Elephas maximus indicus: one gene and its partners. The main gene of each other region encodes a partner of the protein of the gene in region 2 in a complex. Links are inferred from orthologs where the notes say so. Each region holds a gene or a part of one and is shown on either strand. Other genes may lie near its edges.

Evidence for each region. The genes of interacting proteins can lie anywhere in the genome.
Region 1: LIN54 (region 2) and RBL1 share a complex: the UniProt entries of both Homo sapiens proteins name them as parts of the DREAM complex. The link is inferred for Elephas maximus indicus from reciprocal best matches to the Homo sapiens genes LIN54 and RBL1.
Region 3: LIN54 (region 2) and TFDP2 share a complex: the UniProt entries of both Homo sapiens proteins name them as parts of the DREAM complex. The link is inferred for Elephas maximus indicus from reciprocal best matches to the Homo sapiens genes LIN54 and TFDP2.
Region 4: LIN54 (region 2) and LIN52 share a complex: the UniProt entries of both Homo sapiens proteins name them as parts of the DREAM complex. The link is inferred for Elephas maximus indicus from reciprocal best matches to the Homo sapiens genes LIN54 and LIN52.

What each region holds. Positions count from the first base shown.
Region 1 is NC_064843.1:32,489,372-32,496,757, reverse strand, and holds the start of RBL1 (retinoblastoma-like protein 1), read right to left. Parts: upstream 3,006-7,386; 5' UTR 2,766-3,005; coding exon 2,610-2,765; intron 1-2,609. UniProt on the Homo sapiens protein: Key regulator of entry into cell division. Directly involved in heterochromatin formation by maintaining overall chromatin structure and, in particular, that of constitutive heterochromatin by stabilizing histone methylation.
Region 2 is NC_064823.1:73,313,189-73,320,037, reverse strand, and holds the start of LIN54 (protein lin-54 homolog), read right to left. Parts: upstream 3,025-6,849; 5' UTR 2,941-3,024; intron 922-2,940; exon of another isoform or gene 602-921; intron 1-601. UniProt on the Homo sapiens protein: Component of the DREAM complex, a multiprotein complex that can both act as a transcription activator or repressor depending on the context. In G0 phase, the complex binds to more than 800 promoters and is required for repression of E2F target genes.
Region 3 is NC_064841.1:17,687,960-17,695,298, reverse strand, and holds the start of TFDP2 (transcription factor Dp-2), read right to left. Parts: upstream 3,006-7,339; 5' UTR 2,293-3,005; coding exon 2,208-2,292; intron 1,905-2,207; exon of another isoform or gene 1,762-1,904; intron 1-1,761. UniProt on the Homo sapiens protein: Can stimulate E2F-dependent transcription.
Region 4 is NC_064828.1:86,789,186-86,796,230, reverse strand, and holds the start of LIN52 (protein lin-52 homolog), read right to left. Parts: upstream 3,006-7,045; 5' UTR 2,911-3,005; coding exon 2,880-2,910; intron 1-2,879. Other genes in the region: ALDH6A1 (methylmalonate-semialdehyde dehydrogenase [acylating], mitochondrial), read left to right, coding at 3,452-3,499, 3,686-3,845, 5,037-5,065.

The sequences.
Region 1 (7,386 bases), on a different chromosome or scaffold from region 2:
CTGTAAAAAAAATTTTTTTTTAATATCTGTAAGCTTATATTAATGTTTAAAAGGCCCAAAGAGAAATAAAGATCCAATTTATAAAGATACTGATAATAAAAGGCAATAATGGCAACAATAACAAAAAAAGGTATTCCACTTAAGTCAGAGCCAACTTAGAATGGAGTGGTAGAAACAGAACAGTAAGTTGGGGACTACCTATATTTATTTTACTCAGAGTCCACACTAGACTAGGCATCAGGTAAACACATTTAATCATACCACCAACCAAATGTGTTAAGTACTATTATCCTCATCTGACAGAGGAGGAGATTGGGGTTGAGAGGTAAGCACTGTTTGCATACTAGCTTTGATCAAGCTACTGTACAATGCAATGCTACAAAGTGAGCAACCCTCTCCTCCAACCTAGTGAGGCAGAAGGTAGAGAGGTTAACCCTTTCAAGACCCAATTACTTTCTCCTTTGAATTTTTTGTTGATACTATGTGCTTTCACTGATGAAGGCATGCTGATTAAAGGATCAATTCAGAATTTTTGTTATGAGTTATGAATTTTGATACCCATTATCTGGGATCCCAGTATCCCAGCTGCCCCTGGAAGACACTAATTCTACCACTATGAGTCAATAATAAAATCTTTTTTTTTTTTAATTTCTTGAAAATTTGCAAAACATGAGGTAAAACATGAAAGCACATGGTAATGACTGCACACACATTTTATTCTAGTCTCACTTTTCTTAGCCTTTGTCGGGGATTGAATTGTGTCCTCCCAAAATATCTGTCAACTTGGGTAGGTCATGATTCCCAGTATTGTATGATTGTCTACCATTCTGTCATCTGATATGATTTCCCTGTGCTGTAAATGCTATCACTATGATGTAATGAGATGGATTAGCCGCAGTTATATTGATGAGATCTCCAAGATTAGATAGTGTCATAAGCCATTTTCTTTTGAGATATAAAAGAGAAACCAAAGAGACATGGGGACCTCATACCACCAAGAAGGAGCATGAGCAGCAGAGCTTATCCTTTGGACCCAAGGTTCCCACACAGAGAAGCTCCTAGGCCACAGGAAAATTCATGACAAGGACCTTCCTCCAGAGTCAACAAAGAAAGCCTTCCCTTGGAGCTGGCGCCCTGCATTTGGACTTTTAGCCTACTAACTGTGAGAAAATAAATTTCTCTTTGTTAAAGCCATCCGCTTGTGGTATAGCAGCACTAGATGACCAAGACGACCTTTTTATTATTTTTCATGAAATTTTTCAAAACATGAACAATGCATTCTTCCTTACTGCAAAAGCAGTATTTACAGCCCAGATAAATAAAACCAAGGGATTTTTTTTAATCTCAGGAAAATTATCACTACAATGCTTTCTTCCTTATGGCAAAAGCAGTGCTTAGAATAAAAATAAAGGGATTTGAATCTCAGGAAAATTACTGCTAATATGTATGCTTCATTATAACAAACATAGTACGAACAGCTAAGCAGCAGAAACAGCTGCCCTAGAATACAGCAGAACTGCTCACCCTGATGCATTCCATCTGCTACACAGGGAAGCAATTACTGTGCCCTGGAATTGAATACAGGGTGAGAATAACTTATAGGAGTTCCAATCAATCTCTTGAAAAGTACCACTGTCATGTTTTACTCCTTATTGGAAAAGCATTATTTACTGTTCAGAAGCTGGAAAAGAAGGGAACCAGTAACACCTGGAAACAACGAATGGCATAAAGGAGAAAATGGCCACTATGACTAAATGAAGACTGGCAAGAGTTTATTCTCAAGAGAACACAGTAACGGGGAAACACAGTGAAGACGCTTAATTCACAGAAATAAAAGCAAATCTGTCAGAAGTTTTAAAATTTCACACATCTGAAATTATCTACACAAAAATGAGGCTCCCACTCAGGATTTTCGAGTTTCACACATTTCAAAAGGCTCTCACCTTGAGGCTAACACATTAAAATCGGGCTACTCCCTTTCCAAAGAACTCCAGAGGCATAAAAAGTGAGTGGGACACATCATGTCCCACGGGTCTTGGAAGGGTTTTAAAAAGCTGACTCCAATATCTGGCTCCACTAATAGCCCTGTGACGTTGGACACCTCTTTGGCGCTCAGATTTCTCAACTGTGAAATGGGATCAGAGAACGTTTTCAGAGGGTTGTGGAGAGAACTGAGATGGCATATTTAAAGCCCTGAGCAGTATCTTGGAACGCGAATTCACTAAAAAAATTTTTTTTTTTTTTTTTTACCGTATTTGTTTTTACAAATGTACGGGCGGTACCTTTGCGTGTGTGACGCTTGGCGGGCTGGAGGGAGGTCAGGTGTGGAAGCCACGGGTCTAGAAGACCCCTGACTGAAATGTGACCTTGGACAAGCCGCTCCTTTTCTGGGTTTGTTTCCCGCTTCAAAAACTGGGTGGGCTGACTGAGCTACACCCGCCCCTTCAGCTCTGCACTTATTGGCGCCCGGCTGGCAGCGACCCTTCTCGGCGGGGAACTCCCACCACCCCAAAGAGTAGCGGCGGGGCGGGGCGGGGCGGGGGTGGGGCCTGGCCGCTGGCTCACTGCGCCGAGGGTCCGGTCCGGCCGCCCCACCTGCGGCCGCTCACCTCTAGGCTGTAGTTGCCCCGGATGGCGGTGAAGTCGTCCAGGGCTTTGGCCGCGCTCCCCTCGTCCAGGTTCAGCTCTTGGCATAGGGCCTGAAGTGCTTCCCCGGCCGCGGCGACCACCGCCGCCCCCTCCGCGTGGGCCTCGTCCTCGAACATCCCCTCAGGCCCTGCGGGTGGCGCGGTCGCAGCCCCCCGACTCCAACCTCCTTCCCGGGCGCGCTACCCACAACCACCCGCGCCAAAGCGCGCGAAAATCAGCGACACTTTAGCGACGCCTTCTCCATCGTCTCCCTCCGCTTTTCTCTTCAAAAAAGTCCATTTCCTCTCCTGAGCTCCCAGCCACCTTCTCTAGAAATGGGATAACAAAACGGATCTTGGGTCCTGGAAAAATTGTACTTGGCCCTTGAAGGGCAGCGGTGGGCCAGCCAGGGCGGCAAATAGAGAGCGGGGGGGGGGGGGGTCTGCAGCCAGCGCGCGAAGCCTACTGGGAGTTGTAGTCCGCATCCTGCCCTGAAGCTGGCGGCACCGCTCTTACCGGTTTGGGAGGGGTTGGGGTGACATTTATTTAGCGAGAAGCGTCCTCTGCCCCGCCAGTCTTATCAGCCCTGTCTCTGTTGGTGTCCAGAGGCGCCAAACAGCCCATCTTTGACTGAGCTTAGGCACTTGAATTGCGAGATGGAGGCAGTGCCTCCTGGGATGTCTCCAGTGTTGGATGAATGTGCTCTAGACTATCACAGGGCTGGTGAGGCAAGTATATTAAGGGGTATCTCCCCATTCATCATTAAGGAGTCCCTTTTTCAGCTCTCTAGACTTTGGGAACTTTCTCAATAAAGACAGCCATTTCAGGCTTAGGAATACTCTTCAGGTCTTAGAGCTTATCCTTCTGTTCCAACAAAACTTCAGGAAAAGCCAGAGTGATCTTTTTAAAAGGTAAATCAGAGCATGGCACTCCTTTGATTAATATCATTCTGCGAATACCTTTGCTTAAGATAATACCCAAGCTCCTTTCCGTGGCCCACAAGGCCCTATGTAACCTGGCCCGCCTCATCTAGTGCCTTGTACTTCCAGCTTCACTTTGTTTTGGACTCTGGAAAATGCCAAGCTAGTTCTTGCCTCAAAAGGTCTTTCTCATATGCTGACCAAACTGCCTGTCAGCTTTTTGCTTACCTGGCTCCTCTTCACTTCAGTTCAATTAAGTGTCACTTTCTCAGTCCATCCCTGAGCTCTGTGTCTAAAGTAGCTGACTTTCCTTCCTCCCCATACCCTGTTTCATTATCTTCATAGCACCTTATCACTATCTGAAATGATCTTACTTGTTTATTGACCAGCTCTTCCTACTGAAATCTGAGCTGCATGAGAGCAAAAACTTTTATGTTTATCACTGTCGATCCAATATTTAGATTAGTGGTAGGCACTCAGTATTGAAAAAATTACAAAGAGCCCAGTGTTGAGTGGATGAGGGAAAGGAGTCACTGGATCTCATATGCATCACTAAAAGCCTGGACATTACCCTCAAGGCAGTGCAGGTTTTAATGCAGGGAGGTGATGATCAATCTATATTTTGGACAGGTCCCTCTGGCTACCCCATGAATTGGTTGGGGTAGAGACTGGTGGCAGGGAGTCTTCTGGGGAGTGATGCAAAAGTCCAGGCAGGAGATAGTAAGGGGCTGGTTCAGCACAGGAAGGAGCCAGCCTGAGGAGGGGTCTCTAGCCTAGAACTGGAGGAGCCACTGCTGGAGAAGGAAGAGTCCCAATAACACAGGTTTCCATCCAGGCCAAGGGGGTGAAAGTGATACTGTTAATTGGGATGGAAGTGTAAGCAGATGGATGAGATGAGTTCTGGAGTTGTTGAGTCTGGGATGCTTGCGAGAAGTTTAAGCAAGGCCATTGGGTTCCAGAAGGTGTCCCCCTCTCTCTTGGCAGTTTCTCAGTGTTCTACATTCTGCACACATGGAGAGGGATGAGACTTGGGAATCAGCTGCAAACTAGGTCCCAAATTAGCAAAAACTCAAACACCACCCCCCCAAAACTCAAACTCATTCTGAACCACTTGTGTGGTACCTCCAACTCTACTTCTAGGAACTACTAATGCAGCTGACTTCAGGATCACCTCATTATTCTCTGGAAGGAATGTTGGCACACAGTGTGTGCAAGAAGGGTCTCCTCCCATGAATTTGTACCTACTCAGGGTAAGGAGCACTGGTGGTTCAGTGCTTAAGCGCTCAGCTGCTACTCCCCAGTGGCTTCTCTAGGAGAAAAGACCTGTTAGTCTACTCCCATAAATATTTCAGCCTAGGAAATCCTATGGGGCAGTTCTACTCTGTCATACAGGGTTGCTATGAGTCAGAATCAACGGTACATGGCAATAAAAGATTGGTTATGGGCAGTTGGTGTCTATCTCCAGCACCACTGAGTCTGTAGCAGGGGTTATCCCTCTTGCTAACTCCCTTCCTTGGAGTGAATATAGTCAGCAAAGAAATGTCAGGAACAGTGGAGGTGAGATGAAGTTTCTCTTGTAGCAGCTCATTTGTTTTATAATTTATTGCTCTTATATAAGAGAACTTCCAGCTCAGCAGAGAGCTTGGGGAGTGGGGACAGCCTGGACATGAGGACTGGGAATTTTCAGGCTGGACCTAAAGATAAGGGAGCAGGTTGATATCACTCAGGAAGAGAGCTGGCAAGAGAAGAGACCCAAGGATAGAATAGGAACAACAACATTTAAAGGGATGGATGGGCAGAATTTGAGGAGTAAGTGAAAAAGAGATTGGGCCAGAGGGGCATAAAAGCAATAAGTGGTATCTCAAAGGTCAGAAAAGTAGTACTCCATAGTCCAGTGCCACTGAGAACTTCTATAGAGTGAAGAATTCAAAGAAGACTTCATATTATCATTCGTATGCTTCTGGTGACCTTTGCTATAGTAGTTTTCCTTAGCATGGTGGAAGTGGAAGCCAGATTACTGTGGTTGAGGGTCTACTGGGAAGAAGGTCAGAATGTTGAGGTAGGAAGTAGAAACTCTGTAACAAGTTTGGTAGAAGAGAAGCAAAGGAAGGGTATTTTCTAGGATAAGGGAAACTCAGGCATGTGAATAATCAGGGGTAGGACCAGGCTGAGAGAGACTGAAGATAATCAATGTAGCAGGACCCTAGAGAAGGTAGCCAAGCCTGGCTTTCCTCTTCATAGCTCCGGTTTAGAAGGTCATCACTTTACACCTACACTAAGCAGGTCTTGCTAGATGTTCTACTGAGGGGAAAATAGAGGAACACGCAAAAGGGAGTTGAGAGTGGCTTGGAACAATGAGAAAACTCCCTGGGTTTGTCAAATATAAACATCATGGTCAGGATTTTTTGAGGAAAAATGGAGTATAAGTAAGTCTACCTCATGGGGATACTGGCTTTCATAGGTGGTCCTGGACAAGATTACAAGAGATGAGACTCCTCAAGTTCTTTGCCTTTGCTACAATTAGTCAATTTTTGTATCCAGATCTGAACTGCAGAGGGTCATACTGGCCTTGAAAACAAACCAAGATAAGAGGAGACCAGCTGCTCTCAGGAGTTAGAGAGCAGTTGGTCTCCTCTTATCTTGGTTTGTTGTCAAGGCCAGTATCCCCAAACAAAGAAAAGTAGGTACTCATTGCACCATTTTTCATCTTTTCAGTAGTTTAGTTTTCAGTGAATTGCAGGCTATGTACTATAGCCCTTCTCTTCTTCTCTACTGAATTTGATTCTCCTGATCCGTTTCCCACTTCATGCATTCACTAAGGCCTGAAAACTCTTCATTTTTCCATTCCGTAAATGTTTACTGAATTCTTGTGTACAGATGGCGGTGTCAGACCTTGTCTAACTCTAGAGGGAGAGATGACAATCAGCATCAGCCCAAAGATGATTCCCATGAGGTGGAGGTCAGACATACATACCTTCACCACTCTCCAACCTTTTTACCAATCCAAACACCAGCCATCCCTCCATGGCACTCCCTACTTCTCTGCTAGTTTCGATAATTCATTGCAGTGGCCACAAAGAACTCACAGACCATACTCACGAGTATGGGGTTTATTAGTGAAGTAACAGGTTACAATTCAGGATCAAGATCAACTTGGAAATACCAGAAACAACTCAGGATATAATTTTTTTGATCAGGACAGCATCTTCTCAGCCATGCCTGCAAGCAGGCCTCTGCTGCTGTGCCCTGCATGGGCCTGGCCTCTGCTCCGCTGGGGCAAATGTTACAGCTCTTTAGCTCCATTGACATGTGCCCAGAGGCACCCCCACTCCATCAGCAAGCTTCCTGCCTGCAGGTGCTCAGCTCTTTTGTTCTGTTGATGAGGCCACTGCAGACACCTCGCACTGTGGGCTGAGATGCTCACTGCAGCCATCTTGCACCAGTGTCTGGGTTCTCATGCCATTTCCAGTGTTATGGCTGTCACTGTCTCCTGGGTCTAGGAAGTTCTTTGTGCAAGGACCCTGGGTCCAAAGGAGGCGTTCTGCTCCTAGCTTTTCTTCTTCGTAGGATTAGCTCCTTTAAATCTAGCGGCATGGCAAAACTGACTAATCCCCTTGGTGGGCCACAGACACCTTATTTGCATAGTCCCAGCCAATCCCAGGAAGAGTTATACACACTATTTTATAGTGTGTGGGAGTTGCAATTATTTTGTGGGAGTTACAAAGCCATGGCTAGAAGGGCCATATAATAGCAATTTGTTGCACTGCAGCCTGCTATGTGCAAGATACTGATTCTTTCTTTGTCATGACTTTCAGATTTCCCAGACTTTTAACCATTA
Region 2 (6,849 bases):
CTCTGACTTCATGAAATGGATGGGGCTAGGAAAGAATTTCTCTGAAAAACACGGGTATGAAATATGACTGACAGTATCTCAATTGTTACTTGCCAAATAGCAGGGGCAAAGCGGGTCACTCTATGGGAGAAAGAGCCATTAAAAAAATAAAAAAGACAACATTTTTAATTGTTAGAAAACTGGTCTGGTCCATATGCTTAAATGTGACCGTCCATACCCCAACAAGTTATAGACTATGACCTAACACACAGATCTAAAATGCAGAATAAAATGCCAATGCTCAGCCTCCTTAAAGAAACGTACAACTCCATAAACTGCTAAACATCATCTGGTGTTGACCAACCAGAGTGGATAGGTTAACTATTAAATCAAGAAATCAAGATATTTGCTAGCGGTTCCTTTAGGCCTCGGCAGCAGCCTTAGGTATAAGAGCAAATTTGAGCCTTCTTAACACCCAAAGAATACTGTTGATGTCATTATGAGGCTACTGATTCTTTGCACTACAGACAAGTCATTAGTTGATCCACAACACAAATGTCCCCTCCCCCCCCAAGAAGAGATTTCAAGGCAGAGAGGCCCTCGGGTACCCCTTCTTCTCTACCTCCAGCGGCTGCCGCTTTCTCCTCCCTCCGGCTCCAAGGTGGGGGCTCCAGAAGGTCCCGGGCAATTCCGAGCCCGGGCGGTGCTTGTTTTGCCTCTGCCAGATAGCTCGGGCCAGCCGCTTCCTTTCTCAGTTTGCCCAAACTGGAGCGCTACAGGGTACCCAGAGACCGGTAAGGGAGCCGTGTGGCGACGCCGCCGCAGCCGCCGCCTCTGGTATGTCAGGGGCCGGGATTGTATTTCGAAAGATCCGCCATTTTCACCTCGTCATCACCATCACAGCTCAGCAGCTTCCCCGACAGCCCCAGCCCGGGCCGCCGCCGCCGCCGCCAGTCACCTCCCCCTTCCTCCTCCTCCCCTCCCAGGTCCTCCCCTCCCGAAAAGCACACACCCACATATCCGGGGAAACCTCCCGCCGGCCCCGCCAACCTTCAAATGCACACGGGAGACACAAATGTACACACAGCCTACGCAAAGACCTTTCACCCCAGAACGAAAAATGGTGCTCCTGCCAGCCCCGCAGAGCTGCGAAAGGAAGCCCCGCCATCTGCGGGGTCCCAAGTCAGGCATATTTTTATTTGAAGAGCAAACGCAATGCGGAGGGTGGCATAAAGACAGTAAGGGATCTAAACTCTTTCATTTTCGGAAAAACAACTGGAGACAGATGATGGAATGCGTTTCACTATGTCCGTATCAGACACTGAAGACATTATCGAGACCTTTAACGTCACTCACCTACTCTTGACATTTTACTCCACCGTCAGAACTACCTTGACAGAATGAGTTATTTCCATATGCCTGTTTGACCTCTCTGATACCTGCTTTTTAAATTACAGGTACTGATCCTCATGTAACTACTGTGGTCAAAACAGTTTTTTTTTTTTTTTAAATAAAGATTTCAACACACAGTCTGACAAACAGACTCCAAACTACTTTCCTCTTCACTTAATTTTATCTGATAATTTCTGTCCAGGAACATCGTGACTTTCGATTTGTCATTAGTTTAAGACGTCAAAGTGCAACTAAGCTTAAAATGTATTGATTCAATTATGGAAATAAATGCATGAATGATCAATTTCTAAAAATATAGAAAATATAGCTCTAAACTAAAATTCTTTGTCAAACTTTTTTAGGATCCAAGTCACCAAATTAAAAAACCATCTGCCGCTGACATATTTGTTCAATACAGTGAAAATAAACAGCTTGCTTTGGAACAAGACCCCAGAGTTACCACCCACCCCCACTAGCGCCTCCCATCATGCAGTTTCATAAGTAACTAAAACAGAACATAGACAGGTATTTTTTTAATCATCTTAGAAGTAACAAGAAAGCATAGGCTACAGGGCTTCTAATGAAACGAGCATAAAAAAAGAAAACTAAACTGACCACCTTCGTCAATTTCAGGAAAAATTTGGTAATCATCCATTCAAAGGCTGAAATTCATACCATTCAACTACAACCTAAGATCTAGAAGACCTATCTGAAACGAGTAAATTGAAATTTAGGGTTGAAAATTAGGCCACTCTACTACCTTTTTTAAAAGTTCGTTTAAGAAAAGTGAGGTAGATGTTGAATAAATCATTTCATTTCCCTACCTTGCTTGCATGGCAACTCCGTATAAAAGTCGGTAGATTCCAGCTTCAACAAGTGCTGTCCACCAACCCAGCCCAATCGCCGTTTTTAATACGCAGCCTGCTAGACGCTGAGAGTGTAAAGTCTCCCTAGTTTCTTTATCTTTAAACTTTATGGCCCCACCGGCTGTCCGGGCCACCCGCACTCCGCTTGGTTGTTTACCGTTGCCTGGCCAAGCTGAGTCCCAGTCTGCTCCCTTCCCCCATGCACCTCGGGAACATTATGACATTTGGCTGGTGGGCTTCGCGAGGAAAACGGACACACAGGAAGAAGGTGGCATACAAAGGAGCATAGGAAGAATGGGGTGGCGGGCAGCAGAGAAAGGAGGGGCCGGTACAAAATGACACAGCAGCAAAACTGGTTCCCAGAAACCCGGGGCCGACACGGCCGGCTTCTCTAGCCGCGCTGTGTCAACAGCCACCGGAGCCCTTCCTCCAGGCTGCCGGGAACGGTAGCCGGCCGGTTGAGTGCCGGCCCTGCCGGGTGACAGCCGCCCTCCTGGGCGCCGGCGGAAAGGGGCTGAGACCCGAGGACCCTTCCGCAGGGATGGGGCGCCGCGGCCCACAGCCGGCAAGTTCCCGCTCCCCGCCCGGGCTCTCAGAGGGGGCGGTCCGGCGCCCTTCGCCCCCGCCGTTTCCCGCAGCCGGGGCCGGCGCTCCCTTCCCGCCCTCCGGCTCAAAAGCCCCCATCTCGGGGGCTGACGCTCACCAAAGCCGGCGGCGCCGCCGCCTCCTCCTCGCGCCGCGCTCCCTGGGCTCCCAGTAGCCGCGGCGGCGGCGGCGCCTCCGAGACACAGACCCGGGTTTGTTCAAAATCACGCGCCCAGCGCCATTCCACCGCCGCATCCCATAATACGCTGGGCCCTCCCCGCCCGCGCGCCCCTCTTCGCCCGCCCCTCCACTTCGTCCGCCCCGCCTTCCCGGTCGGCTTCCTTCGCCCCGCCCCTTCCGCGAAGCCTGGCCCCGCCCCTTGGCAACCCAAGGTCGCGTCATTCCGCAAGGCGCCGTGAGTACGCTCCAACTCCACGTGACTCCAAGTGGTTTCTCTGTCAAATCTTTCGCATGGAATGTTCCATCAGGCTGCGGTTGGGAGGGGAAGGTCAGGGTTTGTGCCAGCTGTTGGAAGAGACTCCCTCTTTTTCTAGCTTTCCTTGTAAGGAAGTCCGTGATGTAGGTGCGATTTCCAGCATCTTGCCACTTTTTGATGTGCTTGGGGGAGAATGGGGAGGATCAATATTTACAAATGCCAAATCTCGTCGTTTTTTCAGTACTAATTTTTCAGAGATCGATAAAAAGCCGCAGAGACACTACACAGACTTAAAGTTATTTCGAAAGGAACTTTTTGCTTTTTTGCAGTATATGGCTAAGATTAACACGATCAAAATTCTTCGTATTCATTCACCTTTCCCTTTTATTTTTCTCGGTACCCCTTATTATAAAAGAAAAAATACCCAAATTTGGAGTCTGATAATCAAACAGGGACTGAGCGATTATTCAGTTAATAACTGCTCGGTGTGAGACAAGAAGCACACAGATGAAACAGTAGAAAACACGAGAGTGTAATGAAATGTTAAATGTTGTGGTACAGTCTATATAACTACTCCTGGGGCATGTAGTACGCACAGGGCAAAGTGACAGGCAGTAGACAGGGAACACAATGGAGGAGGTGAGACACGTAGTGGAAGCAGCAATCACTTTGGCATCAAGCAATCTTGGTTTAAATTCTGGCGCCTCAACTTTTTAGTGTATCATGTTCATCAAGTTTCTTTTCCCAGCCATAAAATATAAATAACAAAACTTCCCAGGATTCTGAGGGTATTCTGAGGTATGTCAAACAGCTACACAGTCCTGTGTCAGATGTTAATTCCTTTTCTACCACAGTCACCACCACCCTATACCACCCATCCCAAACTCAATTTTTAGGATTTAGCAAGACCAGTGGCATGAACTTAGCAAAGGCCTGGAAGTGGGAAGATCTGTGGCAAGTGCAAGAAATGTAAGAAAGTTGAATGATACACAGGCGTGGTTGGGAATCAACAGTAAGGTAAGCTCAGTTTATGAGGAACCTTCAAAGCTAGTGAGAAAAGCTTCATGATCACAGACATTATTAAACATTTTTCAGGGTGTCCTTGCTAAATGCAATTAAATAAGAAAAATAAGAGGTATAAATACTGAAAAAAAAAAGAGATAAATGATCCACATTAAAAGTAATCACAAAGAGCTCAGTGTTATTTTAAGTTCATGGCCTTGGGTGCTAGACCAATTGGGCCCTGTCTTAGTTACCTAGTGCTGCTATAACAGAAATACCACAAGTGGATGGCTTTAACAAAGAGAAATTTACTCTCTCACAGTCTAGGCTAGAAGTCCTAATTGAGGGTGCCAGCTCCAGGGAAGGGCTTTCTTTCTCTGTTGGTTCTGGGGGAAGGTCCCTGTCATCAGTCTTCCCCTGGCCTAGGAGCTTCTCAGAGCAGGGACCCTGGGTCCAAAAGATACACCCCGCTCCTACTGCTTCTTTCTTAGTGGTATGAGATCCCTCTCTCTGCTTGCTTCTCTTTCCTTTTATCTCTTGTAAGATAAAAGGTGATACAGGCCACACCCCAGGGAAGGTCTCCTTAGGTCATATCAGGAATGTGACCTGAGTAAGGGTGTCCTATCCTACCCTAATCCTCTTTAACACATGCTAATCTTTCCTCATTAACCACAAGAAGAAACTGGGATTTACAACACATAGCAAAATCACATCAGGTCACAAAATGGTGGACAACCACACAATACTGGAAATCATGGCCTAACCAAGTTGATACACATTTTGGGGAAGACTGAATTCAATCTGTAACAGGGCCAAATCCTGTCCCTGTCACTTAATAGCTCTGTGAAGTTAGGCAAGTTACTTTCCTCTTGTTTAAGTTTTTTCCTCTCTAAATTGGGAATAATACATATATCATTAGGTTGTTGTGAAGATTTATGAGGTAATATGTGTAAAAAACTTAGAATAGTGCCTGGCATATAGTAAGCATTCACTGACTGAAAGCTATTAATCAAAACTACAATACAGTCTAAAATATAATCTTCTACTTTATCAAAGAAAGCATTTTAGCTCCTAAGAGTCACTGCTATTCAAACATCTATATTGCAAAAGAAAAAAAAAAAAAAGAAGAAGTACAAAATGGCATCACATACTTTAGGAGAGAGTGGTTAATACAGCAAGGGAATGTAGAGTGTAATATGGTTGCAATTTTGGAGTCAGGGATTTTTTTTTTTTTCCATATTTTTGATCTTGCAACAAAGTGGTTACTCAATCTCCCCAATTAATAAAACTAAACATTTTGCTTAGACAAAAAAAAAAATCTGTATTTCAAAAGAGACACTTAGCTGTATATTTACATGGATGGCTTTTTCAAATTGTCTAAGAACATTTATTTAGCAAACATTTCTTGATTGTTGAATCCCAGGCAGTGTGCTAGAGACTAGGAACACAGTAAACGAGACAGTACAGCTCTGTCCAGTGGAACTTTCTGTAATGGTGGAAATGTTCTACATCTACACTATCTGATACAGCCACCACTGGATACATGTAGCTATCAAGCACTTGAAATGTGGCTAATGCAACTGAGGAACTACGTTATTAATTATTTTTACGTAAACTAATTTTAAGTTAAATAACCATGTGTACCTAATGACTACCATATTGGACAACACAGTTCTAGAGGAAGTGGCAAACTATAAACAAGTTGAAAAAAAAACTGAAATATTTAAATAAATAAATACAAGCGGTTTCTGAAGATAATATCGATACAAAAAGAATAATAAAAAGATTGTAGTATGGAGATGTGAAGTGGTGAAAACTATCAAAAAATAAAAGTAAAATTTATTTTTAAGTCCTATAATAAAACAGGTAGACAAAAAAAAAAAAACACCAAACCCAGCGGCATCGAGTCGATTCTGACTCATAGCGACCCTATAGGGCAGAGTAGAACTGTCCCATAGAGTTTCCAAGGAGCGCCTGGCAGACTTGAACTGCCAACCCTTTGGTTAGCAGCGTACGCCACCAGGGTTTCCACCAGGTAGACTGCCAGGTACAAAGTATGCCAATACCAGTTGCAGTTGAGTTGATTTTGACTCATGGTGATCCCACGTGTGTCAGCATAGAATTGTACTCCCTAGGGCTTTCAATGGCTGACTTTTCAGAAAGAGATCGCCAGGTCTTTCTCCTGGGACAACTCTAGCTGGACTCAAACCTCTAACCTTTTGGTTAGCAACTGAGTCCACTAACTGTTTGCACCACCCAGGGACTCCACCAAGTACACTAGTGAATAAAACTTTCTTAAAAACAGGCTAGTTTCCAAAAGAGTATTCACAAAGTTCATATGTTTATTAGTCCATGTTGTTAGAAGTCCAGTATGTCTTTATGCAAGCAAACAACTTGTGTACATCTATAAAAGAGTAATTTTCATCTTTATTTCTTTTTCATCATTATTTATCTCTTTTTACAACAGACCTATAATCTCTTATCAAAAATTTTAAAATCCAAAATGTTTTGAAAACTGAAAGGGTTTTGGAAGCTATGGCAAACTCATTGGGCAGGAAAACCTGGGCCAATATTACATAAGGCTATTCA
Region 3 (7,339 bases), on a different chromosome or scaffold from region 2:
ATCCTTCTCTTTGCAGCAGATAATCACTCTCCCCTTTTTCCATTAGCAAGGACCCTAAGCTTACTTATCTTTTGAGAGGCAAAACAGCAAGACAGCATTTCAATTAAACCCAAAATATTTCTTTCACATTTCTTATTCAAAGATCTTCTGGAATAAGTTTCATGCTTCTCATAGAAGATGAAATGACTTACCAATATACACAACTGATGTTTCACATTTTCAAATTCATTTTGAGCCTTCCTAACTATCACGAGATTACAAACTTTTACATTCTCTGAGTAGTCCCTAGATATTTTATAATGACTTAACTTTTGAAAAATACTCTCAATAACCTGATGCTCAATTTTTTTTTCCTTAAGTTAAATGGTCTAAAATAAAATATCCCACTTTTGCATTAATTACACACAATTTTTGAAGATGGGGGAAACAAAGTTTCTGCAATGGGTTGGTTATTCCAAATATGTTACTCTAATACTGATGTTCAAATCCTGAGTATAAAAAAAGAAATTTTAAAAGACTAAGCTTTGTTGATTCACTGATTAAGTCAGATTTATGACCTCCCCTCCCCATTCCAGCTACTGTGTTTTGAATGAAACAACCTCAATTGTAACAGAAGAAACATCTGTTGCTCTTTCTTCATCAGGGCTTTCCTGCCTGAAAGGAAGGCTCTCCCCCTGATCTCCCCCTTCCACTCCCCCCCCCCCACACCAAGTTCCTTAAAACTTGTTCTAAAGTAAATGTATTAAAATTATTTCAGATTGTGCTGGATCTATACAATGTCACCGTTGATCTAGAAAGATTCACTTTTTTAATTAAAGCGCATAGAATGGCTAAGTTCCATACACATCAAAAAACAAGAAAGGTGACCGATGTTCCATTGTCACTAAAATGCAGACTTGAAAAGTGTATACTTGAAGTGATCAACTCAATCAAGTTGTCACACATTCCCGGCTCACTCAGAACTGCTTAGAGTTTTTTCTTTACGGGATCCAGATGCATATAGAATCTTGCATGCTATATTTTCTTTGCCAGCCCAAAGCTAACATAATGGCAGTCACTGCCCCGAGAGGCAGACACCAAATGGTGCCACCCACACCCTCACACTGCCTCATAATAAACCATAAAGCAGTGGAATGCACCAGTCCCTTTATGAGCAAACAATGCCTGAGCTTCATTAGAATACAGCTGACATTTTCAAAGCACAAATAGTTTTAAGAAAAATGTTCTAGGTGGAAAAAAAAAAAGGCATGAAACAGCTATAAAATCTGAAATATTTTTCAAGTGTCAGGTTTATCCCTCAAGATCCCGAGGAAGCCTATTTGGCTGTTGACAATTTAAATTCTCCATAAAAAAAAAAAAAAATGTATAGTTAAGGGTAAAGTTTATTAACTGCTAGAAAGAAATGGAAGTAAAAATCATTTGAATTGCTTTCAGAAGTTAAAAATCACAAAGTACCTTTCAAATTATTCCCGTCCTCAAATGTTTCTGTAGCTCTTGAATGAAAAACACTGAACTCTAGAATTATTTTCACATTTTAATGAATTTAGGTAAGTAACTGAGTGATAAACTAACTCTACCCCTCCCCCCCAGCCCACCCCAACCCCCATGCCCTGTAGTTTCCCTGTCTGCAACAAGCAAGGACGTCTTGATTTCAGCGTGCTCTTAGCTATTTACCCATTTACCATTGCTGCTGTTTAAAGAACAGAAAGCAAACGCTGTAAAAACTCACCCAGCACTAAGAAACAAAATGCTCTCTCTTACCTGGTCTAAGGAAGCATGCCTCTCACTGCAGTACCAACAACACTCTACAGTCTTTGTTACCATTCAGTGGAAACTTGAGACTGTGTCAGACATAAGCAATCGAGCTCAGAAAAGATCCATTTAAAATACTCCTCAGTAAAAAGAAAAAAGATGCTCAAGAAAACTAGCTATTGGCTTTTAAAAGACCTCTAAATACTGCCTAACGTAACAAAGAGACTTCAAAAGAAACTGGAAACACAGGTCCTAAGAGACCGAAAGGGGCTTTTTTAAGGAGCCTTTCTATGTTGGACCTTGCTTTCTTACTAAAGTTCTTTTTTTTTTATTATGTTTAAAATAAAAGGGGTGAGATGGTGAAATGCCTAACTCCAAGCTAACGCTTCTCTAAAAAAATCACTTGAATTTAATCACTTGAATTTTAGCTGGCTAAAAAGTAAGATTAAACTTACTCGTGAAAGCTGAAAAATTCGAATTACACATTTCAGGGTATTTGCTGGCTCTGAAGCAGTCACGCAGCAGCAGATCTGAATGCATCTTGAAAGCAGAGCAAAAGCACCGAGAGTTACACGAATAAAAATGGGAAGAAACTCTTGAAAAGTTGGTCAAAGCTTTTTGAACCTGAAATAACTGTCCGGCTCTTCTGAGAGGGAGAGAGAGAGGAAAAAAAAAAAAAACCTGGTCCTGCCCCCTGAGATAGGAGGCTACGCTTCAATGCCAAAATGAATGACAGGCCCATTTCTGATATCAACAAAGAGCAGCTTAGTCGTGTGTGTGTGTGTGTCTGTGTCTGTGTCTGTGTGTGTCCGTGTCCATGTCTGTGTCTGTGTGTGTCTCTGTGTGTGTTTACTTTCTCACACAGTTAAAGGTTCTAAAATTTTCAGATTACTACCCTGCGCAGCGGTTAAGAGCTCAGCTGCTAACCAAAGGTCAGCAGTTCCAATCCACTAGCTGCTGCTCGGAAACCCTATAGGGCAGTTCTGTTCGGTCCTATAGGGTCACTGTGAGTCGGAATCAACTCGCCAGCAACGTTTTTTTTTCCCCCCTTTATTTATGTACGCTAAGTACCTTTTTCCATTTTCTCAAGAGAGCCCCAGTTAATGTCCCAGTTTTAAAAATGATTAATTAAAAATATGTACTTAATCATCTCAGTTTTTCTAGCCAGGAAGTGGAACCAAAGCTGACTTCTTCTGTTCCTTCCCAAATCTATTCTTTATAAAATCAGATAATCAAAAGACTAATTATCAATATCAGTAAGCTTTCCCTGCATCCTGGTCGTGGGCACAAGGAGAAACAAGAAGTAGGGAACAAACATTAAAAGGTAACCGAGATCATAAAATTTTTAACTAGCTAGATGTAAAAATAATGCCTATAATCATACAAATTCAAAACGATAAACACTTGGATCAATGGCATATATTTACTGAATGCCTTTTATGAGTCAAGCACTGTTTTGGGCTCTAGGGATATAGCAGTGAACACAACAGACAAAAGCCAAACAAAAACCCCTGACTTCAGTGGGCTTATTACCTTACGTCTCAGCTCCCTCTATGAACAGCGTTTCTAGTGAGTAAGGTACCTTTCCTTTTTTGATGAGTTACCACCTAATTGGAAAATGCAGCCCTGGAGGCTCAGTGGTTAAGAGCTCGGCTGCTAACCAAAAGGCTGCAGTTCGAATCCACCAGCTGTTCCTTTGAAACCCTATGGGGCAGTGCTACTCTGTCCTATAGGGTTGCTATGAGTCAGAATCAACTAGACAGCAATGGGTTTGGTTTAAATTTGAAAACAGCTTTCGGGGGCAAGGATTTTGAGCTTTGCTCAGTACTGTATATTCAATGTCTAAAACAGGACTGTTAGCTAAATAAATACACATTGAATGAAACAGATCAAAGAGAGCTTTTTCTTAATTAAACTTTTCTTTTGTAAATAGACTATGTACCGCTTTTTACACTTAGATGCATACAGAGATATAGCAACAATGATATAGTTTAGGGTCTAAATTAAAGTGGGCTATAAACATATTAAGGAGCCCTGGTGGCACAAACAGTTAAGTGGCTGCTAATCGAAAGGTTGACAGTTCAAACCCACCCAGCAGCTCCACGGGAGAAAGACCTGGAGATCTCCTTCCGCAAAGATTATAGTCAAAAAAAACCCTATGGGGCAGTTCTACTGTATTATAGTAAAAAAAAAAAAAACCTCTATGAGACAGTTGCTGAGTCGAAATCAGCTTGATAGCACCTAACAACAATAACAAATATATACTAGTTTAAACAAAATTAAAAATACCACCTATATGGCCCTGTACCTTTTCTGATTCTAAAATCCTTTTCCACTATCAGGCGTGAGATCACTGTAATATTTAAAGGAAAATTGGTTAAACTTCTACAAACTAAGTTTTTGTGAGCAGTCAAATTTTGGAAGACTTTTGAATAAAAAAAGAAACTTGGAAATTACACAGAATCCGCTCAATTTTGTGTATTAAAATATTTTATGTTTATATATAATTTTAAACGCCCCATCCTGCTTCTCACCATTCTTGATCTCCTACCAGCAGCCAGGTAGAGAAAAGAACTGCACACCTCTACCTGTCAGATGAGAAATGCTCGCCCATGTCACCCAAGACCAGGATATTCAGGGGCTAGCTATGGTCATGTCTACTTTGCTACTCTGTTAAAACAAAAGGAAATTAAACTTTCAGGTACCCAAGTACACTCACCATACTTTGGAGAGCTGGACAGCGATTACAAGTTCACACATTTAGTATTTGTTCTAACATAACCTTTCACGTAACATTTCAGGAAGAAATGAAATGACTGAGGTCAAGAGTCGTTAAATGGGTGGGGCCAAAGTAGGATTCCACTGTTCCCGTAGGAATAATTTTTCTTCTCTCTAACTACAAGCCAGAGTCCCTGGGTGGTGCAAACAACATGCTCAGGTGCTAACCAAAGGCTAGGAGGTTCAAGTCCACCAGAGGTGCTTTGGAGGCAAGGTCTAGCAATCTAATTCCAAAAAATTAGCCACTGAAAACCCTGTGGAACAACTGCCTCCTTTGCCATGAGACCCAGAACTGGATGGAGCTTGGCTGCCATTACTGAACATTTTGATCAAAGATTCTCTAGAAGAATCCTGATCAAAAGAGGGGAAATGTGGCACAGAATTTAAAATTCTCATGAAATCTAGGCTTTCTGGAGCCATGAAGCCTGGATGAACCCCTGAGATAATCTTTAAACCTTAAACCAAAAATATCCCCTTAAGTCTTTTTAAAACCAAACAATAGTTTAGCTTAAATAGTAAAGAATGCCTGCCTGAGCACTGTCCTCTTTGAAGATCTATCTATATGGGATCAAACTAAAAACAAGAACTTGAAAGATTAGATAGGAAACTTGGGGAGGCAGTGAGTTTGTATTAATGAGGGAGAAACAACTCAGAAAACGAGGGTGAGAACGGTTGTACAACTCAAAGAATAATCAGTGTCACTGAATTGTACATGTAGAAATTGTATGTTCTGCTGTGTATATTCTCAACAACAACAAAAAATAAAATAAATATAAAAAAAGAAAACCCTATAGATCACAGTTCTACACTGATATACACAGGGTCTCCATGAGTCGGAAGAGACTCAACGGCAACTGTTTTTTTAACCACCACTCATTCCTTCCTTCAACAGATACTTACGGAGCACCACTTACGTATCAGGCACTGAGACAGCAAACTGACCTGCTCCCTACTGCCTACTCTATAGATCTGACCCTCAGGCTATCTCTATCCCTCCACCTATTTCCGTTCTCCCTGCTTGCCTTCCTTCCTGATGACCCCTCTCCAGTCCCAAATTCTTCACTCACACTGCTGTTTCCTTGATATAGATCTCTCTGTATACATTTATACACTTTACTGGTTTTGCGTCTCTAGAGAACCCAGCCTAAGACACAACTCTAATTCATGTCATGTCAGATCCCACGTATGTTAGAGCAGAACTATGCTCCACAGGGTTTTCTTTTCTTTCTCTTTTGTTTTTTGCGCTATAGAGTTTTAATGGCTGAATTCTCAGAAGTAGATTGCCAGGCCTTTCTTCTGAGGCACCTCTGGGTGAATTTGAACCTCAGGCTCTCAACCGAGCATGTCAACCATTTGCACCAATAAGGGACTCCACTTTAAGCAACACATTCATTCCAACTATTGATTATCTCGAAAACACCAAACGTGCCTAGGCATTCTTTCCCCTGACTTTATAAGCTGAGTTATTTTGACTGGAGTTTGCTATGTGTTTTAGCAACATGAGCAAATATTAACAAAATATTCCTATAGGCAAAAATGACACTATGATAGCTTAATGAAGTTTTTTTTTTTTTTTTGCCCATAGTTGCTAAATATAACTATCTACCAGACCCATATGACGGAGCAGAAATCAGTGACGTCCTGCCTATACTTGCTAACATTTTCAAGGAAAATGTCTGATCTTCTTGATGAGCGCTATAACTAAGGCAATGAATTCCTATCACCACTTCCATGGATAAGACTTTGTTTCTCAAAAACATCACACAGTAAGTAACTTTGCTTTGCTCACTCCTCTTCTTCATTCTATGCTGTAAATGTAGACATTTTTCAAGGTTCTGTCCTTGATGCTCTTTTCTTCAAGATCTACACTCCCACTTCTATGACTTAACTATCACTTCTGTGTAGATGATTACAAAAAATTAAAGCTCTGGCCTTCTCTGTTCTGCTCTGCTCTAAACTCTTATTTTCAACGGCCTACTGCCCATCTCTACCCAGACATCCCACAATCTCAAATGCAACTTCTACACTATTCAATCCTTGGTCTACCTTCCCAAACCAGCTCATCCTCCTATGCTCTCCACCCTTGTTAAAGACATCATCATACAGAATTGAAAGCAATTTTCTATTCTTGCCTCTATTTCACCATCCAAATGCCCACACTGCTTCCAGTGTTTTTCTAAAACACATGTCATTCCCTTATGTCTTGGTTATTTAGTGCTGCTATAACAGAAAACCACAAGTGGATGGCTTTAACAAAGAGAAATGTATTTCTTCACAGTAAAGTAGGCTAAAAGTTCAAATTCGGGGTGTCGGCTCTAGGAGAAGGCTTTCTTTTTCTGTCAGCCTTCTCATCAGTCTTCCTCCGGACTAGGAGCTTCTCTGAGCAGAGACCCCAGGTTCAAAGGACGCGCTCTGCTTCCAGCACTACTTTCTTGGTGGTATAAGGTCCCGCTGTCTCTCTTCTTGCTTCTCTCTTTTATATCTCAAGAGATTGCCTCAAGACACAATCCAATCTTGTAGATTGAGCCCTGCCTCACTAACACAACTGCCGTCCATCCTCCCTCATTAACATCACAGAAGCGGGATTTACAACGTACAGGAAAATCACACAATACAGGGAATCATGGCCCTGCCAAATTGATACACACATTTTTGAGGCGACACAATTCAATCCATGACACTTTGGTTTAAAAACAAATGAGAAAAGAAATATAACTTCTGATGGCTTCCCAGTGTCTAGAGCTGTGCTATTCAAAATGGCAGACTTAGCCACATGTGGCTATTTAATATGATTAAAATTGCATAAAGC
Region 4 (7,045 bases), on a different chromosome or scaffold from region 2:
TGACCAGGCAGTGTTTCGTTCTGCTGTACACAGGGTCTGAACTGACTCAACAACACCTAATATATGCATGTGAAAGCTGGGGAATGAATAAGAAAGACCAAAGAATTGATGCATTTGAATTACAGTGTTGGTGACAAATACTGAGTATACCATTGATTGCTGGAAAAATAAACAAGTCTGTCTCAGAGGAAGTACAGCCAGAATGCTTCTTAGAAGCGAGGATGGAGACATCATCTCACATACTTTGGACATGTTATCAGGAGGGACCAATCCCTGGAGAAGGACATCAGGCTTGGTAAAGTTGAGGGTCAGTAAAAAAAAGAGGAAGACCCTCAATGAGACAGACTGACACAGGAGCTGCAACAGTGGCCTCAAAGATGGCAGTGACTGTGAGGATGGCACAGGACTGTGTAGTGTTTTGTTCTACTGTATATAGCGTCACTATGAGTAGGAACCGGCTGGATGGCACCTAACAACAACAACAAATGTATGTACAAATACATACACACACATATATAATATTTTTAAACATGTACTTTTCTCTAAACCAAATATTTTCGGGGAATTTCTGATGGTATTGTAATTGGTAAAGAGCTCAAATGTAATGAATTGCCTTAACTAAAGCATCCAGAAATGGTTTAAAAAAAAAAAGCTGTAACACAAAATGCAAACTTTCAAATTCCCAAAAACATTATTAATGGGAAGCTCAACCACAATAAAATAAACTTATTGGCGGTGGGTTCCACAATAATCAAAGGTGGTTTTATGACACTACAGTCTGTGGCATTATTCAGACTCTGCTGTGACTCTTACTTTCATAATAAGTAATTAAATGGCTTTATTTGGATTTCAACTTTCTTCTTTTCAAAGACTCAGCAAATGTATAACTTAAAAAGATGAAAGATTAAACAGTACATACTTATTTTCAAATCAGCATTATCTGAATTAAAATTTAAAGACAGAGACAGGTGGAACACTAAAAATAGAAATGAGAGAGCTGTAGGCAGTTGGATTTTTTTTGACGCAATGCTTATTTAGAAGCAGAATTTAAATTCAAAGTGTTCAACTTGATGTTGTCAGATTAAAAAGAAAAGGGCTGAAAAAGGTGGAATTCTGTAAGAAATCAGAATGGAAACTTGTAAAAATCAAGTAACCACAGAGATGGTTGGATGACCAAAGGGGGAAAAAAAAATTTCAAATACTCTTCCTGGCCTAAGAAAGAAAAAAATTAAGACAGGGAATTATCAAAAAAGGGACACAGCTCTGAAATCTCAAAAACGTATAAAAACAAGGTAGTAATAAACTAAAAATTTTAATAGCAATTATTTCTACTTCTATCGCTTAGCTGACTTTTTAAATGCCTCTCTTTTCTGGGAGAAGAAAGACATTTTAGCAAGAGAGCATCCAGGCAGGAGATTCTCTTCTGACCCATAATTTCTTATACAATAGGTACCTGTGCTCAAAAACATACGATTTTCCACCAGGTAATGTATTATTTATGCATACATATAATCATTCAATAAGTATCAATTGAAGGCTTACCGACTGCCAAGCACTGTGCTAAAAACCCTGGGATACCACTGTGAATAAAACTGAGTTGTCATTTATAATTCAGCGAGAAAGAGGAAAATTAACAGAGTAACTATGTTGACAATGAAGGATGAAGTATACTGAGGTGCTGAATAATGGTGGAGAGGGGCAACTCCACATACTGCGGTCTAGGAAAACCTCTCTGAGAAGGGACATCTACGATGACACCTGAAACTGAAAAAGTGTTTACATGTTTCGTTCATCTTTTTTGTCTCCCAAAGAATCTAACATTGTGCCTTTCATATTGTAGATACCCGACATACTTTCTCTCCTGGCCTCAATTTTCTCATTCTTAATATCATGAACTTCCAAGATTCCTTCCAAACACAATGTGTTTGTGAGAGAGGGAAAAACTACATCTCAGTGAAATCGGCGGTAAAAGCAAAAATGAAGTGAGTTAAAAATCTCTGCAAGAACGTGAATTTACGTAAGTGTAGGAGGGACAATTCAGAAAAGGAGGATGAGAACGGCTGCACAATTTGAAGAATGTAATCGGTGTCACTGAACTGCCCATGTTGAAATTGCTGAATTGGTATACGTGTTGTTGCGTATATTTTCAACAACAACAACAAATCACTGCAAGACCCTAACTCTCTTAAGCAGAACCAACGCAAAAGCATGTGGGTATGAAAAAACCACAAAACTGCTACCTGAGATGACCTGCATCTTAGACAACACATAAACAGAAACAACTGTTCATTTACTCGGCGTGAGGAACCAATAATACCTACAGATGAAGAGAGGCTGCGACGTGTGCAAAACCACACCAAATAGCTCAATTCGCATTCTCCTCAGGACTTTAATGGCGAGGGGCCAAGAAGGTCCCCGGCTTTTCTTGCCACCGGAGCAACTGTCCCAATCTGAGGGAACGGGAGAGAATCACGTTTCTCTTTTGCGACTCAGTCCCGGGATGAGGTCAGCTACCAACCCCACCTAGGGCTTCAGAGACTCGCTCGGGATGCTCAATGAGAAGAGAACCGACCCTTCAATGGGGTGCCCCGAGAAAACTACAGTAAAAGGTACCTCTCCTCGGCCCTCAGCCTCACCCGCATAGAGCTAATGGAGAGCCGGAGCGACCCCGCCCTTCTGCGGGGAAACTGGCACCTCCGGAGCCTCGGTGAAGAACCGGCGAGCTGACGAAAGGGACGCATCCCAAGGAAAAGAAGTAGTAAAGTAAAAGAGAGGGGCCCAAGAAAGAAGTGTAAATTCTAAGGGCAGACGGACAGTGGAAATTCTCAGGAGCAATGAAAGAGGTAGGTGGCAGGCGGAGACTCTAAGCCGGCTCTTACCGTCTGTGGGAGACGCCATCTTCCAACCCATGTCACGTGACGTGGCCAACCGTCGGCGGGAAAGCAGGAGTCCCCAAGCCCCGCCCCGAACGGGGAACCCTATCCCCAACTCGCGGCCGGGTCTTGTTTCGCCGCCGCGTAGGGCGATCTTTGCCTAGCCCCGCCCCCTCGGTGCTAGCCACACCCCCTAACGCTGTTGTTGAGGAGGGGCGACTACAAAGTTCTTGGAAGATCTTATTTACCTTCCTCAGTGAGGGGAGGGGGCGGCCCGTGGTCATGCCTGTGGCCAATCGGAGTTCCGGATTAGGGGGCGTCTCCTTTTAGAGCGCCCAAGTCACGGGGGCGTCTTCCCTACATCCGCCAATAGAATTTGCTGAGGTGGGAGGGGGCAAGAGCTCTTCCACTTCTGCCAATCACACATCCCCAGCTGGGAATGAGGGCGACTGATTGGCTAAGGGGAATGGTCTTCTCTGCAAATGAAGAGGTCCGGCAGGATGGAGGGGCGGGTCCTGGCAGCGGCGGCGCTGCTGGGGACCTCTGAGGCAGTAGTGGCGAAGAGGCGGCGAGGAGCCATGGCGGCGGTGGTAGCAGCGGCAGCAGTGCGGGCCCGGATCCTGCAGGCGAGTGAGGGTGCCGCCGAGGGATCGCGAAGCTAGGAATTGGATCCTTTCCGCGCACGCTCTAAGCCAACCTCGGGTGGGACCGTTTTCCTGGCCGAGACCCCTCTTGACTGACCCTGGAGTTCACACCCGACCCGTACGGCCCTGTCCTCCCCACCCCTCACTTTGTACTCTCCCTTGTCCCAGATCCAGCCCTGGGCCAACACCCCTGGCCCATCACCCCCTGGGCCGTCACCCCTGGGCTATCACCCCCGGCCTCGCCGCTTTACAGCGGAGCCTCCGCTTCTCTGGCCCCGCCCCTCCCTGCCTTCACTCTTGTTCTCATCTCTTTCGGTGCACCCACCAGGTACGTAGTGTACACTTCTAGGAGATTGAAAGTTCATTCTGTGACCCTTGCCCCAGGTTTCAGTGAATTCTACTGCAGAAACGATTGCATTTTGAAGATTCTTGACAGAGTCAGCAAAGGTTCATGTTTAAATGTGCTCTTTAACGTGACACCATGGAAAAGTGGGTTGCAGGGGTTTATCTGGTGGTCTGGCTCCGCTCATATATTTCTTGCTGTGATTTTTTTTCCTAATTTTTTTTTTTTGGAGCCCTGGTGGTGCAGTGGTTAAAAGCTCAGCTGCTAACTAAAAGGTAGGCAGTTTGAATCCACCAGCCGCTCCTTGGACACCCTACGGGGCAGTTCTACTGTGTCCTATGGTGTTGCTATGAGTTCGAATCAACTTGATGGCAATGGGTTTGGTGTTTTGTTTTGTTTTTATTTTTTTTGGAGTGTCCTTGTTTAGTAGTAGAGAAACAAATTTCCCACCTTATATTTTCCACTACCAACTCCTCCTTGAAATCTTTTCCTGAAATTGGCTTTTTTGCTTTGCCCCCTCTCCATCACAATGAGTCACTGAGAGCTTCAAGTAGGTATTTTGTACTTTGCATCAAGAAGATTCTCCCTACCCACGTACTTTATTTCAGAAACAGACATTACTTTTCGATTCATTTGAAGAAACTTCTGAAATGACCTGGAAAAGAAAAGAACAGAAATAGTAATCCTTTGCAACTAGGAGTTGCAGTATCAGGAAACTTGGATAGAGGATAGTCTAGATTCTGGGAGCCATGAATATTAGGGGACTATTAAAAAAAAAACTTTTTTTTTTTTATTAAAAGGATCAAGGAGAGAGTACATGTTTTCAGTTATTTTAAGTATTCAGTTTATCTTCTTTGTTAAGGTGGCTGGTAAAATTTACCTAGAACCTTTGCTCCTTGGGATATTATCACTCCCACTCAGAGGTAACAAAACCAGTCTTAAAGAGACTCAATGACTTGCCTTAGTGATATGGTGGAAAGAACACAGCTTCACAGTCATACTGAGGAGTATAGTCATACTATCCCAGCTCTACCACTTTGCAGGTAACTAAGGATTAGAATTAATAAATATACTAAGTAAATTTCCTGACACTTATGATCACTCAAGGTCACCTGACTTGTTATTAATAGAGCTGAGAATTCAGGACTTAAATCTTGGTGTCTCTTTCTGTATCAGGTACTGTCTCAGGCTTTGGGAAAGGAGAGGTAAGTAAAATATTCACTGAAAGCTCCCCTATTGTAATGCAATAAGTGCGAAAAATAGGGGTGCTAAGAGTGCTATAGGAACATAGAGAGAATGCCCCACACTCACCCTGGACCAAATTCTGGAAAAGTTTTCAAAAGGGGTTGGCTCTAGGGCTGAGTCTTATAAGACTAGCAGACCATTAGCCAAGGAGAAACAGGAGTTCCTGATAAAGGAAATAGCAAGTATGAAATAAACATCTAGAGAGCAAAAAGTTTGATGCATCTGGGCATAGGATATTTTCTTCAGCAACAATGATAATGAAGAGTGTTTCTTGGGAAATGAAGAAAAGATAGGCAATCTAACCCATCAAAAACTCTGTGATTATGTTCTAGTATACCAGATACAGTGCCTTTTATGCCCTCTTGACAGTGCAGAGGTTGTGTGTAAGAAAAAAAAATAAAACTAAATGTAGACTGCTCAAGTTGGCTGATCGTTGTACAGTCATGCACTGCATAATGTCCATTTGGGCACCGTCCAACCACATACACATCCATGGCCCCACTGGTTGTAATAGAGTTATATACAGCCAGTTCCCAAGCTGAGTTTGTAGGTAAGTCGAAACAGGTACATACGGTTTTTATTTAGCATCAGTAAGTCAAATGTTTGTCTTAGTAAACAGTATATGTGTTACCCTTCTCTACATATGAAGGAAACGCTGGTGGGGTAATGGTTAAGAGCTATGGCTGCTAACCAAAAGGTCGGCAGTTCGAATCCACCAGCCACTCCTTGGAAACCATATGGGGCAGTTCTACCCTGTCCTATAGGGTCACTATAAGTTGGAATCAACTCGACCACAACGGGTTTGGTTTTGGTTTGGTTTACATATAAAGGAGCCCTATAGTGGTTAAGCATTCAACTGCTAACCAAAAGGTCGGCAGTTCAGTTGGCTGTTGGAATCCACCAGTCATTCTGAGGAAACCCTATGAGGCAGTTGTACTCTGTCTTATAGGGTCACTATGAGTCAGAATAGACTTGACAGCAATGGGTTATGCATATAAAATACTTAAACACTTCCAAACCATATAATGTTTTCATGAGCATCACAAAGTAGTGCATGCGTTCATTATTATGAACCATTATATTTAACTTGAATTTTTAATATAACAGCCTTTATGGCAGTCCATTCTTAAGTATGAGTTGTCCATAAGTCAGACATTTGTAACTCAGGGACTGCTTGTATTATGGTGTTCGCACAACGTCCAAATCACGTAACATTCCATTTCACAGAATTTATCGTGGCCGTTAAGGTGACACATGACTGTATTTTCTACCTTATAAGAGAGTGAAGCAAAATTAATATCAAAAGGTGGCTTGATGAGGACTCACCCCTTTACCTCACAAAATATTAATGAGTACTTACTGTATTCCAGGAACTGTGCCAAGGGCTGAGGACACAACCGTGTAGTGGTATGAGCAATAGAGGAATTCAGGGTGTTTTGTGAACTCCACAGTTAGGTACTTAGCTCAGACCTGAGGGTGACACTTCCTGGAGAAACTGATGGCTAAATGGGAACCTAAAGGAATAGGAGTAAGCCAAGCCAGTGGGAATGAAATAATCCCAGGCAGAGGGAACAGCATGTGCAGAAGCAATGAGAGCACAAAGCATGTTCAGAATGGCTGCAGCATAGAGAGCAAGGAGGAGAGTGGCAAACTGTCAAACTGGAGAAGTAAAGACAGGGTCTTATAAGCGATATTGAGGAGATTAGTCTTTATCCTAAACGTAGTGGGAGGCCATTGCAGGGTTTTAAACAGGGAACTGATCTGATCAGATTTCTGTTTTAGCAAGCCCCTCTGGCTAGATTCAGACGGTTTAAGATTGGAGGCTGGGAGTCCTGTTAGGATGTCCCAGGTGAGAGATAGTGATAGGATAGGCTGGGGTGATGAGAGGAGGGCTAGACAAAGGGGGATGTATTCTGAAGATGTCTAAGAAGGAGAGATTG